Sus scrofa: one gene and its partner. The protein of the gene in region 1 interacts with the protein of each later gene in a pairwise test. Links are inferred from orthologs where the notes say so. Each region holds a gene or a part of one and is shown in the gene's direction. Other genes may lie near its edges. The genes, in order: FAM118A and ATOX1.

Region 1 (7,594 bases):
CAGGGCAGAGCCGCCTGGGCTGTGTGCCTGTGCCCGGTGGCCCCTGGTCCTGGCTCAGCCCTGCTTGGCATCTGTGCCAAGGCTGCCTGTTTAGTAGCTCCCTGCGGACGTAAAGAAAGTGAACAAGAAACGTGAGGCTGGGAAGTGTAGGGAGAGAGAAGCCAGAGCTGCTGAAGGCCTTTTCTTTTTCTCTTTGAAGCATGGAAAACGGATCTTTTATGTCACTCTTGTCAAAAATAAAATTTTATTTTCAACTCTATTGCTAAGCTTTTCTTTAGTTACAAGATGTGGTACAATGTATTTCATGAGAATTTTTGCCTTGAGTTGCCACTCAGTTGTGAAATTAATTGATTACTTAAGTATTTAAAATTTTAAAAAGTAAACATCTAGGTCTGCTTTAACAAGAAGACATTGGAGTTCCCTTGTGGTACAGAGGAAACAAATCCAACGAGGAACCATGAGGTTGCCAGTTCGATCCCTGGCCTCACTCAGTGGGTTGAGGATCTGGCCTTGCCGTGACCTGTGGTGTAGGTCACCGACGCGGCCCGGATCCTGCGTTGCTGTGGCGTAGGCCAGCCGCTCCAGCTCCGACTGGACCCCTAGCCTGAGAACCTCCATATGCCCCGGGTGTGGCCCGAAATAGCAAAAAAAAAAAAAAAAAAAGAAAAAGAGAAGACATTTTACAAACTGCAATGGGGGCAGGATGGCTGAATCTGAAAGTTGGTGAGACACAGGGTGACAATATTACGAGCTTGGAAAGAGAATCTAAAGCTGGAAGGTAAAGCAGAGCCAATTCAGGTCGAGCTTTGAGAATCGCCATGCAGGAGAATCGAAGGCCTTGCTTTAAAAGATATATTTAGTCATTTCTCTGATTTTTGTTTGTTTTCCTTTTTGCCTTTTCTAGGGCCGCTTCCCACGGCATATGGAGGTTCCCAGGCTAGGGGTCGAATCGGAGCTGTAGCCACCGGCCTACGCCAGAGCCACAGCAACGCGGGATCCGAGCTGCATCTGCAACCTACACCACAGCTCACGGCAACGCCGGATCGTTAACCCACTGAGCAAGGCTAGGGATTGAACCCGCAACCTCATAGTTCCTAGTCAGATTTGTTAACCACTGCGCCACGACGGAAACTCCTGATTTTTGTTTTTAATACAAATTTATTCCAACATGACTGATGTATTAGAAAAAGCAGTCAGCATAGCACATCCACCTGTGGCTAATCTTGTCTGTGAGAAACTGGGTCAGGGCGTGACTACAACGTGGCTTGTTTGCTGCCTCAGAGAGAACAGGTTTTACATTTTTTTTTTGCTTTTTTTTACTTTCAGGGCTGTACCCGGGGCATTCGGAGGTTCCCAGGCTAGGGGTCCAATCAGAGCTACAGCTCTCGGCCTACACCTACACCACAGGTCACAGCAACGCCGGATCCTTGACCCACTGAGTGAGGCCAGGGATTGAACCCGCCACCTCATGATTCCTAGTCGGATTCGTTTCTGCTGCGCCACTACAGGAACTCCCCAGGTTTTACATTGTTTTTTTTTTTTTTTGCCTTTTCTAGGGCTGCACCTGTGGCATATGGAGGTTCCCAGGCTAGGGGTCCAATCAGAGCTGTAGCTGCTGGCCTGCACCACAGCCACAGCAACTTGGGATCTGAGCCAAGCCTGCGACCTACACCAAGCTCACGGCAACACCGGATCCTTGACCCACTGAGCAAAGCCAGGGATCGAACCCGCAACCTCATGGTTCCTAGTCGGAGTCGTTAACCCCTGCGCCAGGACGGGAGCTCCAGGTTTTACATTCTTGAATGGTTGTGTTTCATGTGGTCATCCAGACACCTGTATGGTAACCTCTGCTGCCTCATCAAAGCCCGAAAGACTCTGGCCCGTGAAGGCGGCTGGACCTGCTCCAGGTGGAAAGCAGGAGGCTGCAGCCAGCTGCCCAGCGCCCTGGGGGGACAGGCCGCCCGCCCTCCGGCCCCCACCCGCACTGGTGCGGCAGCAAGCGTCACGGGGGCGCCCCTTTCCCAGGTCAGCTTCCGGGCGGTTTGGGGGTGAGGCGCCTGTGTCCTGTGTAGCTGTGCCTTTAACCATTTAACCCTATAAAGCCGGCTTCTTACCAGGTTCATTTTTGTTGGGAGTTGGTGCCCCCGCCCCACAGTTGCTGTCCCCCTGCGGTTTCCGCCGGGTGCCTTGGCGTAGCCAGGCGCTTTTCCGGGATGAGGGTTGCTGTGTTGGACGGAGCAGTGACCCTGCTTTGAAGGCCTCTGACGGTCCGCAGTCTCAGGGGTGAGGTCAGCGTCTGCCCCAAGCCGTGTGGCACCGAAGGGCTGGTTTGATGTCTTCCAAGGCAGAGGGAGGTCGCGCCCACCAGGACTGGAAAAAGGTACAAGCGGGCGACTTCTGGCCCTCACGCCTTCAGAGGTTGGCTGGGGGAGGGCAGGAAGCAGGTTTTTGGGTGACTTCCATCTGTTTCTTAGGCACAGAGTGTATTTTGTTTACAGGGAACAGTGTCGTTCAAAGGTGATTCCATTACTTCAGGAGGCGACTCCCTGATTGGCACTTAAATACAGCACCACTATCATTTTTTATTCCATTTTTATTTATTGATTTGTCTTTTTGCCATTTCTAGGGCTGCTCCCACGGCGTATGCAGGTCCCCAAGCCAGGGATTGAACCCGCAACCTCATGGGCTCCTAGTTGGATTCGTTAACCACTGAGCCACGGTGGGAACTCCTTTCTTTTTCCATTTTTAAATGGAAATGAAGTACTATTGAAAACACTGCACCTTTTTTTGGTCTTTTTAGGGACGCACCCGTGGAATTTGGAGGTTCCCAGGCTAGGGGTCTAACTGGGGCTGTAGCCACCGGCCTACGCCAGAGCCACAGCAACGCAGGATCCTTAACCCACTGAGCGAGGCCAGGGATCGAACCCACATCCTCATGGTTCCTAGTCGGATTCGTTAACCACTGAGCCACAACGGGAACTCCCAAAAAGCTCTGCAACTTTGGATTCAACCAACCTTGGATTGAAAATAGTTGGGAAAAAAAAAGACTCCAGGAAGTTCCAAAACCATCTAGAATTTGCCGTGTATAGGCTACTATTTACAAACATTTACGCTGTATCAGGCACTATAAACAATGCAGAGATGGTTAAAGGGAGGCTGTGGGCTGTATGCGGATTCCTACCAACGCATATAAGGAACTGGAGCATCCCTGGGCGGTGGTACAGGGGCTCCCAGAGAGAAGGGACCACTGCAGTCGAGCGGAGCAGTGGGCTGTTGCTTGGGAGAGCCTGTGTCCTTCTGTCTGTTTTTTCTTTTTATGACCACATCTACCGCATATGGAAGTTCTTAGGCCAGGGTTGAATGGGAGCTGCAGCTGCCGCCTACATCACAGCCACAGCAGCACTGGATCTGAGCTGCATCTGCAACCTCTGCCGCAGATCACAGCAACCCCGGATCCTTAACCTACCGAGGGAGGCCGGGGATTGAACCCACGTCCTCACAGACACCACGTGGGGTTCTTCCCCGCCGAGCCACAACAGGAACTCTGAAACAACTCAATTTCACCTTAAATCCTTTATTTCTAAAATTACGGAGTGCAGACGTTTGAAATTAGACTATTTTTATTGATACTTTCAGTACTGGTTTCAGTCCCTCCGAAATAATTTTCCCTAAGACACAGGTCCAATACCGTGTAACTAGCACACTTAGAAACCAAGTTTCTTCTCTTAAAGGTTTACTTAAACTGTGCAAGGCAACATCGCAGCAAAGGTGAGTGATGCCGGATTAAAAAACTTTGACTGGATTTCAAAATGGAAGTTAAAACTATGTTTTCAGAGCTAACGCACAGGAGATGCTATTTACTGGAGTGGGGCCTGAACACTTTGTAACAGAGGCAAGCATCTTTGGCGGGGGACAAGCTTTTGCTTGCTCCCAAAGTCTGTCAGGTAGATGGAACGTGGGGGTGAGAACGGAACAAGGGTTGGCCTGACCACGCAGCACTCTGCCCACCGCTACCATCGCGCTGAGGCCTAACGGGGCTCCCGCTGCCTCCTGCTGCTCTCTCTCCCCTCGGTTTCTGGATACTGAGAAAGGTCCAGGGTCAAAGCTCGGCTGAACATGCAGTCGTCTTGCTGAAACGGAGACAAGACAGTACCGTCAGTCCCTGTCATCAGATGTGAAGTCAGGGCCCTCAGTGAGTCTGGACTGAGCTTTGCAAAAGGACCCTCCTTGCAGCCAAACGTATCGCCTGTCTGCATTGACATGAGCTCTATTTCGTTTTTGGAGTTACCTGGCAAAATGTACCAGCTCTGCTACCCCAAACGGGCCTTTCACACACGGATTGTTTTAAATGAAAGGCTACTGAGAAACAGCAGACGGAGGAAAAAACTAAAAACGAAGCACAAGACTCCCTTTTGGTAAAGGAAATTCATTGACATAAAAGATGGCCACCTCTTCACTTTTTCTTTTTTTTTTTTTTAGGGTCGCACCCATGGCACATGGATGCCCCCAGGCTTGGCGTCAACTCAGAGCTACAGCTGCCGGCCTACACCACAGCCCCAGCCGTGCCGGATCCTCGACCCACTGAGTGAAGCCAGGGACGGAACCCGCATCCTCACGTTTCCTAGCTGGGCTCCTGACCGCTGGGCCACAACGGGAGCTCCAACCTCTCACTCGTGGCCAGTGCAGAGGTCAGCGGCATCTGCAGGGCAGCTCTGACTCCAGCCTGCTCCTGGCCCTCCTCCCGGAGCCCCAGGCCTCTGCCTTCCAGCCTCGCATGCTTGTCCCCGTCCAGGCCCTCGCCACCGCTGGCTTGTTCACCGCTGGGTGTGCCCTCAGGTCCCAGGCTGATGCTCTTGTTTACCTTTCCGCCTCCCGCTGGTCTAACTGACAGGGCCTGCCAGAGCCTGAGATTTTATTCCTGTCCTGCACTGCTAATGAGAATTCCCGTTTCTCTCCTGCAGCGTGTTCCAGCGATGCCGTGACAGGAGGTAGGCGCAGGGAGGGAAGTGGATTTTATCTTGGCTTCAAGGAGGACTCAGGAAGTGAAACCGAATTGTCTAAGGACTGAATGATCTGAATGAGTTGCTCTGCTCCATTAGCGCAGGTAAGTATTTTCAAGGGCTTCTAGAATGACGATGCACCTGAGAACTTGTGGTCAATTTCTTTGTTTTTTCCTCTGGTACTTTTGGAGGATAAATGGGTCCCTGTTAGTTCTACCATGTTGCATTTCTATTTGCCTAAAACATTCAGACCTTACAGAAATAGGAAATATAATACTAGCAGTCTAATTCCTGTAAGTTAATATGTACTATTATTTTACAAGCAAAACTATCATACTTACTGTTCTGCAATTTTCAACTGGCTTTTTCACTTAAAATAGATCTTACCTTTCTGTATACGGCCACAGAAAAACATCCGAGTAGTTCCTTTTAAGTCTTATTGATTAAAAAATCACCCCAGCCTATATCTGTCACTGCTGAAATCAAACAGTATCTACACTCTGTGAGGAACTTGAGATGCTGTTGCTGGGACCCCCCCGCCGCCCCGGGCTGATTTTCCTCCTCCCCTCTGCCGTGTCTTTACCTCTGGATAGATGCCTATCAGCGCATCAGCTTTGGAATAGAACTCTTCTTTCAGGGAAATAATTATCATCTGAAACTGTTCCTGAGTCTGCTCCTTGATGTAACTTGACACCTGGGAGGAACCAAAAGCGTCAACCCCGTCCCATCAGTAAGGATGCAGAAGGCACCTGGCCCTTCAGTAAGGAAAGGCGGCCTTCCTGGGGGCCCTGAGAACAGGCCCTGTCCGTCTGAGTCTGACAGGACGCCTGCCTGCCTGCCTTCCTGGTGATTCAGGCAGGGAGTCACTGCAACCGCAGAAGCGGAGATAGCTCAGATTCTAAAATAAGAGATTAGAAAACTAGAAACCTCATTAAATCTGACTGAAAACCTAAATATTTTTAAGAGAAACATCTAACCTAGACTATCATGTGAATATGCAACCAACTTCTACAACAAGATAAAACTACCACTTGGGTATTTGATGAGGGTGAAGAAGGGCTGGTATTTTAAGCTCCCAGCTTCCTCTGTTGCCAACTCAAAAGCTGAAGATGGGAGAAATATGGCAATTATATATGTATTCATTGTCCATGATCAACTCATTTGGTGAGCGGGGAATTCAGTGGCTCCTTCAGGAGCCTTAATTCCAAGGAATGGAGTAAGAACAAAACAGACTGGCTAGAAATGCGTCTTGGTGAAAATCTCTACTCAGAATCTGGAGAACGATAAAGAACTTAAGACTCAAATCACAGTTTTAACAAGATGCTTGCCGATTCCCTGGATCTCTCTGCAAGCCTAGAGTGTGCCTTCTCCGTGTATTGGCCTGACTGCAGCCAAGATACTGAGAACACTCATTCTGGAGGCAGGAATGGCCACTTCGGTTGAGGAATGAGGCCCCGGCTGAGGTGAATTTGGGCTACAGGCTGAATTCACAGGCAGAAGGAACTCCAGCACTGGAGGCACCATGGTGCCGAGTAGGTAGCCACCGCGATACAGGACTTTGAGGAAGTCCGTTTCTGTTTTGTTGGTTAGTTCAGTGTGGTAATCTCTAGGTCCATTCACGTTGATGCAAATGGCATTATTTCATTCTTTTTATGGCTGAGTAATAGTCCATTGTGTGTGTGTGTGTGTGTGTACACATATATACACCTTTATTCGTCCCTTTGTCAGTGGACATTTAGGTTGTTTCCATGTCTTGGCTACTGTAAATAGTGCTGCTGTGAGCAGCAGGGTACATGTATCTTTTCAAATTATCAGAGTTCCTGTCATGGCTCAGCAGTTAACGAATCCGACGAGCATCCATGAGGATGTAGGTTTGATCCCTGGCCTTGTGGGTTAAGGATCTCGAGTTGGCATGAGCTGTGGTGTAGGTTGCGGACACTGCTCGGATCTGGCATTGCTGTGGCTGTGGTGTAGGCCAGCAGCTATAGCTCTGATTGGACTCCTAGCCTGGGAGCCTCCATATGCCATGGATGTGGCCCTAAAAAGACCCCAAAAAAAAGTCAAATTATAATTGTCTGGGTGTACGCCCAGAAGTGGGATTACTGAATCATATGGCAACTTTATTTTTAGGTGTTTTTTTTTTTTGGTTTTGTTTTTTGATTTTTAGGGCCGCACTTGTGGCATGTGGAAGTTCCCAGGCTAGAGGTCAAATCGGAGCTACAGCTGCTGGCCTTCACCACAGCCACAGCCACGACAGATCCGAGCCACCTCTGTGACCTACACCAGCTCACAGCAACGCTGGATCCTTAACCCACTGAGTGAGACCAGGGATGGAACCTGCATCCTCATGGATACTAGTCAGGTTCTTAACCTGCTGAGCCACAACAGGAACTCCTGGGCTCTATTCTGTTCCATTGACCCCTATGTCCGTTTTGTGCCAATAACTTTCTTCCTTTCTTTTTTTAAGGAGGCACCCACGGCATATGGAGGTTCCCAGGCTAGGGGCTGAATCAGAGCTGTAGCTGCTGGCCTACATCACAACCATAGGAACGCCAGATCCTTAACCCCCTGATCGAGGCCAGGGATTGAATCCA
Region 2 (8,365 bases), on another chromosome or scaffold:
TCCTTTTTTGTCTTTTTAGAGCCAGACCTGTGGCATACGGAGGTTTCCAGGCTAGGAGTCGAATCAGAGCTGTAGCCACTAGCCTACACTACAGCCACAGCAATGAGGGAGCCAAGCAGCGTCTGCAACCCACACCACAGCTCACGGCAACATCAGATCCTTAACCCAGAGTGAGGCCAGGGATCAAATCCGCATCCTCATGGATAATAGTCAGTTTCATTGACTACTGAGCCATGATGGGAACTCCAAAGAATTCTAATATTTTTTGATGCTTACCCTATGCCAAGCAAGATTCTAGGAAATTGTCAGTCACTCAGTCAGTTATTTATTTATTTATGTATTTATGTCTTTTTAGGGCCGCACCCTCAGCATATGGAGGCTCCCAGGCGAGGGGTTTGACGTGGAGCTGTAGCTGCAGGCCCACGCCACATCCACAGCAATGCCAGATCCAAGCCACATCTACAATCTCTACCACAGCTCCCTGCAAAGCCAGATCCTTAACCCACTGAGCGAGGCCAAGGATCAAACCCGAGTCCTCATGGATACTAGTTAGGTTTGTTACCGCAGAGCCACAACGGGAACTCCATTGCTATATTTATTCCTCCAAACACTACTACAGATTAAGTTTCTTTGACGGAATCATATGCCCTGGAACAGTCATGATATAAGGCTGTTGCCTTGGCATCATTAATGGCATCCTCTTTCACCCTCTAAAGTTCAGATAAAAAACTATACAGTTACCCTGACTATCCCCTTTTGTGAGTGATATTAAGACTTAGAGAGGTAAAGTAATCAGTCCAAGGTTTCACAGCTGGCAAATGATGGGGCTAAGATTCAAACTCTGGTCTCCATGGCTCTGTTATGGACTAAAATGTATTCATTCCCCCAAAATCCATAGCTGGGAGTTCCCAATGTGGCTCAGCAGATTAAGGACCTGACATTGTCTCTGTGAGGATGCAGGTTTGATCCCTGAACTCTGTGGGTTAAGGCTCTGGCATTGCCACAAGCTGTGACGAAGGTCACAGATGCACCTCGGAACTGGTGTTGCTGTGGCCAGCAGCTGTAGCTCCAATTTGACCCCTAGCCTGGGAACTTCCATATGCCACAGATGTGGAGGTAAAAAGAAAAAAAAAATTCATAATTGATGCCCTAACCTCTTAATGTGACTGCGTTTGGAGGTAGGGCCTGTGAGGAGGTGATAAAAGTTAACACAGCAGGGCCCTAATATGATAGAGCCGGTGCCCGTATAAGACGAGGAAGATACCAGAGCTAGCTGGCTTTCCCCTGTGGGGACACAGCAAGAAGGGAGCTGTCTGCAAGCTGGGAGGAGAGCTCTCATCAGAAATCGAACCAGCCACCATCCTGATCTTGGACTTTCCATCTTCTAGAACTATGAGCAATAACTTTCTGTTGCTCAAGCGACCCAGTCTGTGGTATTTTTTAGGAGGGGCCCTAGCAGACTAGGCTGGTCTCTAATCTCCATATGCCCCTCCCGCTCACCATGCCGATGGGCCTAGTCATCAAGGGCCAGTGTGAGCCAGCGACTGGTCCTGGTTTAGACTTATCCCTTCTCTTTTGTTTTCCTTGAACTTAGACCAAGGGTAGAACCGTTATCCTCTTCCCTAAACTGAAATAGGCATCTTGTCAGTCCCTGAGTCCGAGGCCAGTCAGGAGAGAGAAACTACTCTACCATTTGAACAAGAAAACTTTAAAGATTATGGAGCTCCTGTCATGGCGCAGTGGTTAACGAATCCGACTAGGAACCATGAGGTTGCAGGTTCGATCCCTGGCCTCACTCAGTGGGTTAAGGATCTGTCATTGCCGTGAGCTGTGGTGTAGGTCGCAGACATGGCTCGGATCTTGTGTTGCTGTGGCTGTGGTGGAGGCCGGTGGCTACAGCTCCAATTAGACCCCTAGCCTGGGAAACTCCATATGCCATGGGAAGAGGCCCTAGAAAAGGCAAAAAGACCGAAAAAAAAAAAGGAAAGAAAACTTTAAAGATTATAATGAGACTCTAGTAATGAAGGATTGGCTAGTAAGAAGAAAAAAGAATCTTATTAAAGAATATAGGAGTAGCAGATATGAGGCACAGCTACTGCCCATAGGGCTAAAATAATGAAATGGGGTGCTCAGGAAGAATCCTGCTTCCACACATCCAGGCTGCGATCCAAGCCTTGTGGCTTACTGGACAGAGTGTCTATGATGCCATGGTGGTGGAACTTGCTAGAAGGTCACCCACTAGGCTGGAAAACTGCCCTCTAGGATGCTGGAGAAAGCTGTTCACAGAGAATCATCTTATTGGAGTTACTCCTCTGCTATGAAAGCACGTAAGCAGGACAGGTACTGGAGGAACTGCTGCCTATCATGTACTGCTGGTCCTTTTCCACAGCAGGAACCAGGTGCTGGAGAAGCCATCCTCAGAAGCTAGGCAGAGGCCAGTCACAGATACTCCAAGAGCCTGGAGACTGAGCACACTGGAGTAAGAAAGGAAAACCTTAATTCATTGAAAAAAATTTTTAAATAAAAAATTAAAAAAAATAAATGTTACAGGAGTTCCCTTGTGGCACAGTGGGTTAAGGATCTGGTATTGTCACTGCAGTGGCCCAGGTCACTGCTGTAGTGAGGGTTCAATCCCTGGCCCAGGAAGTTCCACAATGCTGTGGGTGTAGACCAAAAAATAAAAATGTTACAAAACTCTAAAAAAAAAAAGAAAAAAAGGAAAACCTTTCCTCCTCCAGTGTCTCTCCAGAGCCTTTACTGGCAAAGCTTAACATCCTGCCATTTGGCAAAGCAAAAGTAATCTTCAAAGGGTCCAGATTTTCACAAGCAGGCAAAAATGATGAATTGGAACTAAGACACAGTAGCCAGCACACTTTCTCAAAAAGGTTTTGTGTATTAGAGTATAGTTTTCCTTAACCAGTGGTTTCCTAAACAAGGAGGAGGAGAGGAACAAAAATACACGAATTTGTTTTTTTGTTGCTTTTGTTTTTCTTTTTAACAGCAGCACCTGCAACCTACAGATATTCCCACACTAAGGGTCGAATTGGAGCGGCAGCTGCTGGTCTATACCACAGCCACAGCAATGCCAGATCCCAGCCACGTCTTCCGCCTATGCAGTGGCTTGCAGCAACGCTGGATCCTTAACCCACCGAGAGAGGACAGGGATCAAACTCACTGCGTCACAGGGGACCGTTCTTAACCCGCTGGGCCACAACGGAACTCCAATGACAGATCTTTGAAACTGCTAACATAGACGTAGGCTCCTTGGATATTTTAAGGACAGAAACAGCCTGGTACTCGTGTGTGTGTGTGTGTGTGTGTGTGTGTGTGTGTGCGTGCGTGTGTATCAAGACCTGGGGCTTGACACACCTTCTGTGTCTTAGAGCATCTCCGCCTCTGTCTGTCTTTACCCATGGCTATGGGTCTCATGTCTTTGCCGTGTCATTTCTCCATCTCTCTCAATAGTTGCTTCTCAGTCTGCCTCCTCCAAGCTATGCCCTATGCCGTTTCCTCTGCCTCCTTCCTCCCCAAATAACTCTTCTTCCTTCTACAGATGGACGAAGATTTCCGCCTCTGGAAGCCTCCTCACTTCACGAACCGCCTTCACCCTCCAGTCCGAGTTAGAGGTCTTTTCTCCGCTCGCACTGAGACACGGCTCCTTCCTTTAACACTGCTTTATCTTGCATCGTCATCTCCTGCTTCCCTGGCTCCCTACTAAGCTGTATCTTTCCATACCTGCATCTTGGATGCCTCGCACAGGGCCAGCCCAGGGCTGGCAATAAATACTGAACGGGTGAACAAATGAGGTGGTTCCTTTGCGGGGGTGGTGGGGGGAGTTTCCAGCCCCTAATACATGCCTGACAAAGGGTAGGCGGTCTAACCACGGTCCGCATGCGGGGCAGGCTAGCCGAGGTCCCTCCCACCGCCTAGCACAGACGTGGCAAGTGGCCAGGGGCTCCATCCCGGCCGGAAAGAGGCGGAGAGGACAACAGCCTCCAGGCCGCTGCCCGCCCGCGAGGCCGGGGGGGCGTGGCTTAGCCGGAGGCCCGGCCGGAGGGGGCGGGGCCGGGACCAAAGAGCGGCTTCTGCGGGGCGCGCGCACCCGGAAGCGCAGCCGCGCCAGCGCTCAGAGCCGCGGGAGGCGTCGCCACGGCCACCACGTCCTCAGTCATGCCGGTAAGTGGTCACGCCGCCTTCGCCCCGCGCAGACCCGCGGCCCACCGCTTGCGCCTCGTCTGCACTGCGGCTTGGCCACAGGTCGCTCTTCAAGGGCTCTGGCTGCGGCCGGAGCTGTCGCCCCTCTTCTCATCCCCTCCCCGCCCAGGCCCCAGCTTTTGCTTCTGCGACCCTCCAAGAAAATCGAATCCCAAGGGATTTTTATCTAGGAGTCAGGTGTCAGAACACCGAAGCTGCAAGGGCTCCAAGCGAGTACCAATCCAAACCTTCCTTGTATAAAAGGGGAAACTGAGGCCCAGAGACGGGCAGCGTCGACGGAGGTCCCGCAGGGTGATCCGGAACCGGAACTGGGCGGGGCCTGGATGCCCGTTCCCTCGGGGATGGCTCTGGACCTTGGGACAGGGAAGGCGTTCAGAGATCCGTGTTTCTCTTCCCTTCCCCCTGCCCACTCTTTCAGGTCAGCGCCAGGCGACACCGAATGGAGACAGTGCTTTTAACCTTTGCTCCTGGTCGGTTCATGAATCTGAACTCATGAACTCCAGAGAGGTTCAGGGACCGCCCCACAATTGATCACTTGCTCAGTGGCAGCGTTTGGGGCCGAATGCGCAGGTCGTAGCCCGCCTTTGCAGCTCACTCCGTCTTAGCGAGTATACTCGGTTGCTCATGGCCTCATTTTGTAGATGAAAAATTAAGGCCTTTTCCAGATTAAGCAAATTAAAGCCCAATGGTTTATTCAAGGTGGTGTTGGGAGTTGAGTGCAGCCAGGATAAAGCCCTTTATCTACTGTCTCGCAGTCTCTCCTGGCCTGACCACAAGCCAAGTGCCCAACAAAAGTAGTCATACCGGCTTGGGAGGAAGCACTGATCCTAGTTGCAACCTGGAGATCCTGGCTAGAGTCATGTGTTTAGCACATGACATCCCCCAGGGTTCCTAGTTTATGGCTCTGCTCCAAGTGGGTACCCAGAGGTGTCCCACAGATGCTCTGTGTCTTAGCAGCCTAGCTTTGGGGAGCTGACAGGTGAGCCAGAGGCCCCCTGGGCCACGCCACAAACATCTCAGGTGTCATTTCCTTTGGGTCTCGCCAGGTGCCTTGAGACAAATCCTCAGACAACACAAAGTCTGGACAAAGAACCTGACAGAATTAGCCCTCCCAGTTGAACAAATCTGCCTGCAGCAGTGACAGAGGATGGCATTAATCACCCTGGGACTAGAATAGTGAAGGCTACCAGGTTTTTGTGGGGGACGGGAGAGAGGGAAAGGCCAGCTTGAGGGTCAGTGCTCTCTGTTCACTTCTGGGGATTCTGACAAGCCAAAGACCCTCCAGAGTGGGTGATGAGAGTGAAGAGGGTACTTGTCACCACAGTCACGAGAGGGACAGCTGAAGGAAGGATTATTAGTCAAGGGACTGTCACCAAAACTGCAAGGGGAAGAGTGTGTCACCTGAGAGGTTTCTCTGACAAACACTTGAGATCTCAGAAACCTCTGGAAAATCTGGGTTCCTGTTCGCTGACTCGGTGACCTTGGGCAAGCTACCTTCCTTCTCTGTGCCTTGATTCCCTCATCTGTAAAATGGGGATTAAAAAAACTGACCTCACAGAGCTGTTTTTAGTATTAACTGGGAAAATGCCAGTAAAATACATAGCCTAGCTACTGACATAGTTAGTCCCCAAGAAATGGCAGCTTTTGTGCAGACCTGGAATGAGTCAGGTGGGACTACAGGCAGGCAGGTTTCAACTCCATTTTAACAAGGACCACATGATAAGAGTTTAGGCTTTGGATACTGTATCCAGACTAGCCCCTGCTACTTAGTAGCTTTATCACCTTGAGTGAATACCCTAATGTCATGTCAAGAAAGGATAATATTTACCTCAAGGGTTTGTTTTGATGATTAAACAAGGTAATGCATGGACAATGGCTGACCCACATGGTAGGCACTCTAATATATATATATGTGTGTGTGTGTGTGTGTGTATTTTTCGGGCTGAACCTGCGACACATGAAAGTTCCCTGACTAGGGGTCCAGTCGGAGCTGCAGCTGCCGGCCTCTGTCACAGCCACAGCAATGCAGGATCCAAGCTGCATCTGCGACCTACACCATAGCTCACGGCTACACCGGATCCTTAACCCACTGAGTGAGACCAGGAATTGAACCCGCATCCTCATGGACACTAGTTGGATTTGAGCCATGATGGGAACTCCTCTAATATTACTATTAGTAAATTCCCAGACATCATAGTGTTCAAAGACTAAATTCCCAAATATTTGAGAAAGATTTTCCTTGAGGCGGAGAGGACAGGTGGTGATGGCGAGACAATGTGACCCCATTCCATTCCTGTCCTTCCCATTCTGAGATTCACTTTAAGAATCTCTTTCATTGACTTTATAGGACCTGTTTTATAGGTGACAGAGTGGAGGCTCTGAGGGGCTGGGACTCTGCAAAGTCAAGCACTCCGTGGTGGGGCCAGTCTTGGGATTCTCTGTAAAGGAAGGATCACGCTGCTCGTTTAGACTTTCCGCTGCCCCCGTTTCCTTTGGTAGCTCAGAGGTGGAGGAGGAGGAGAGCATTGAATTATATTGGCGGTAACCCATCCCCTGTCACTGACCTCTGTCCTAGGCAGGATGAAAGGAGACCTGCTCTCTGTAGCCAGCTGCAGAGAGCTTCAGAGATCCGTTGACTTTGGCTCCTTGGGCAGCAAAAACGTGTGCTCCTTCACAAGGTGCCCCCCACTCAGGGCTCCTGCTTAGAGAATCGGTTGTGGGGGATGGCACTGCTGTTTGCGGGTCCAGAACCAGCAAGATGTCCTGGAGCGGGGAAAGCCTGGGTTCACATCCCAGCCTCAGCACATATCCACCCCGTGACTGGGCAGCTTAGCTAACCCCTGGAACCTCGGTTTTCTCCTAAGTGCAGTAGGGTGACTAGCTCCCTTACCTGGTTGGGCAAGGACTGACTTGGTTACTATATAAAGAGCATTTCGTAAAGGGGTCGCTCAATAGATTTGGGTTTTATGTTGGTCTTGCAAACCCATTACAGCTTTGGCTGGGTATACAGGTGCAAGCCATTAACAAATCTTGCGGACCATCATTCTAGAGCAAGGACAGCAGACTTTTTCTTCAAGGGCCAGATAGTAAATACCTAAGGCTTCGTGATCCACATGGTCTGTTACGACCCTGCAACTCTGTCCTTCTGGCATGACAGTAAAGGAGTACGCTTAGCTCTGTTCCCACGAAACTATAAAACCAGGTTGCAGGCAAGCTGTAGTTTCCCCCTTTGTATTCCACAGCAGCATCTCAAACTATAGTGTGGGCAGGAATGAGCTGTGTGTCCTGTTAAAAATGAGGATTCTGGAGTTCCCATCATGGCTCAGTGGGTTAAGAACCCAACCAGTATCCATGAGGATGTGGGTTGGATCCCTGGCCTCACTCAGTGGGATAAGGATCCTGTGTTGCTGTGAGCTGCGGTGTAGGTCACAGATGTGGCTCGGATCTGGTGTTGCTGTGGCTGCGGCTGGGGCTGGCAGCTGTAGCTCTGATTAGACCCCTATCCTTGGAACTTCCATATGCTGTAGGTGTGGCCCTAAAAAGAAAAAAAAAAAGAGGATTCTGATTCAGGAGGCTTGGAGTGCGACCTGAGCGTCTGTGTTAATGACAAGCTCCCGCGCGATGCTGTTACTGTCGGTCTGAAGACCGTGTGTTAAAGACAAGATTTTGGAATTCTCACCTGAAATCCTTATTTTCAAAATTTGTTGAATAGTCACAAAACGAGCGGAAGGAATCAGAGGCGTTCAAACTAGACGAACAGAAAAAACCATTTTCTTTACGGCAGGTTTCGCAGATTTGGCCCCAGTGAAATAGCAGTCTCCTTGTTATGTAACGACGGCTGTGTGTAATTCAGTGCAGGAAAACCCAACTGCCTAACTCTTGGCCTCAGTTTCCCTTGTAGAGCATGATGAAAATCCGGATCCAGGGATTTTCCAAGGATGTTTTGAGACTTGGAAAGAGCCTGAGAAGCCATTTAGACCAGTTTTTCTCAGGTGTGTGGGCTCACCCCTCTGTCTCTCCCCAGTGGATTAAAAAATGGAGAGTCCCAGGGCACACAGAGCCAACGGAGGCAGCTGCCTGCAGAGCTGAGTGGTCCCCAAGTTCCCCTGTGATCCTTGATGTCCACTGAGGGTGAGACAATGGAATTGGC

What was found.
Region 2: the proteins of FAM118A (region 1) and ATOX1 interact in binary tests that used the Homo sapiens proteins (3 or more experiments, as listed by UniProt). The two-hybrid records come from large-scale screens. The link is inferred for Sus scrofa from reciprocal best matches to the Homo sapiens genes FAM118A and ATOX1.

The regions. Positions count from the first base shown.
Region 1 is NC_010447.5:4,063,365-4,070,958, reverse strand, and holds the end of FAM118A (protein FAM118A), read left to right. Parts: exon of another isoform or gene 1-252; intron 253-3,810; exon of another isoform or gene 3,811-4,028; coding exon of another isoform or gene 4,029-4,130; intron 4,131-4,961; coding exon 4,962-5,068; 3' UTR 5,069-5,565; downstream 5,566-7,594. Other genes in the region: SMC1B (structural maintenance of chromosomes protein 1B), read right to left, coding at 4,029-4,130, 5,584-5,694.
Region 2 is NC_010458.4:71,295,260-71,303,624, forward strand, and holds the start of ATOX1 (copper transport protein ATOX1), read left to right. Parts: upstream 1-4,061; 5' UTR 4,062-4,170; coding exon 4,171-4,176; intron 4,177-8,365. UniProt on the Homo sapiens protein: Binds and deliver cytosolic copper to the copper ATPase proteins. May be important in cellular antioxidant defense.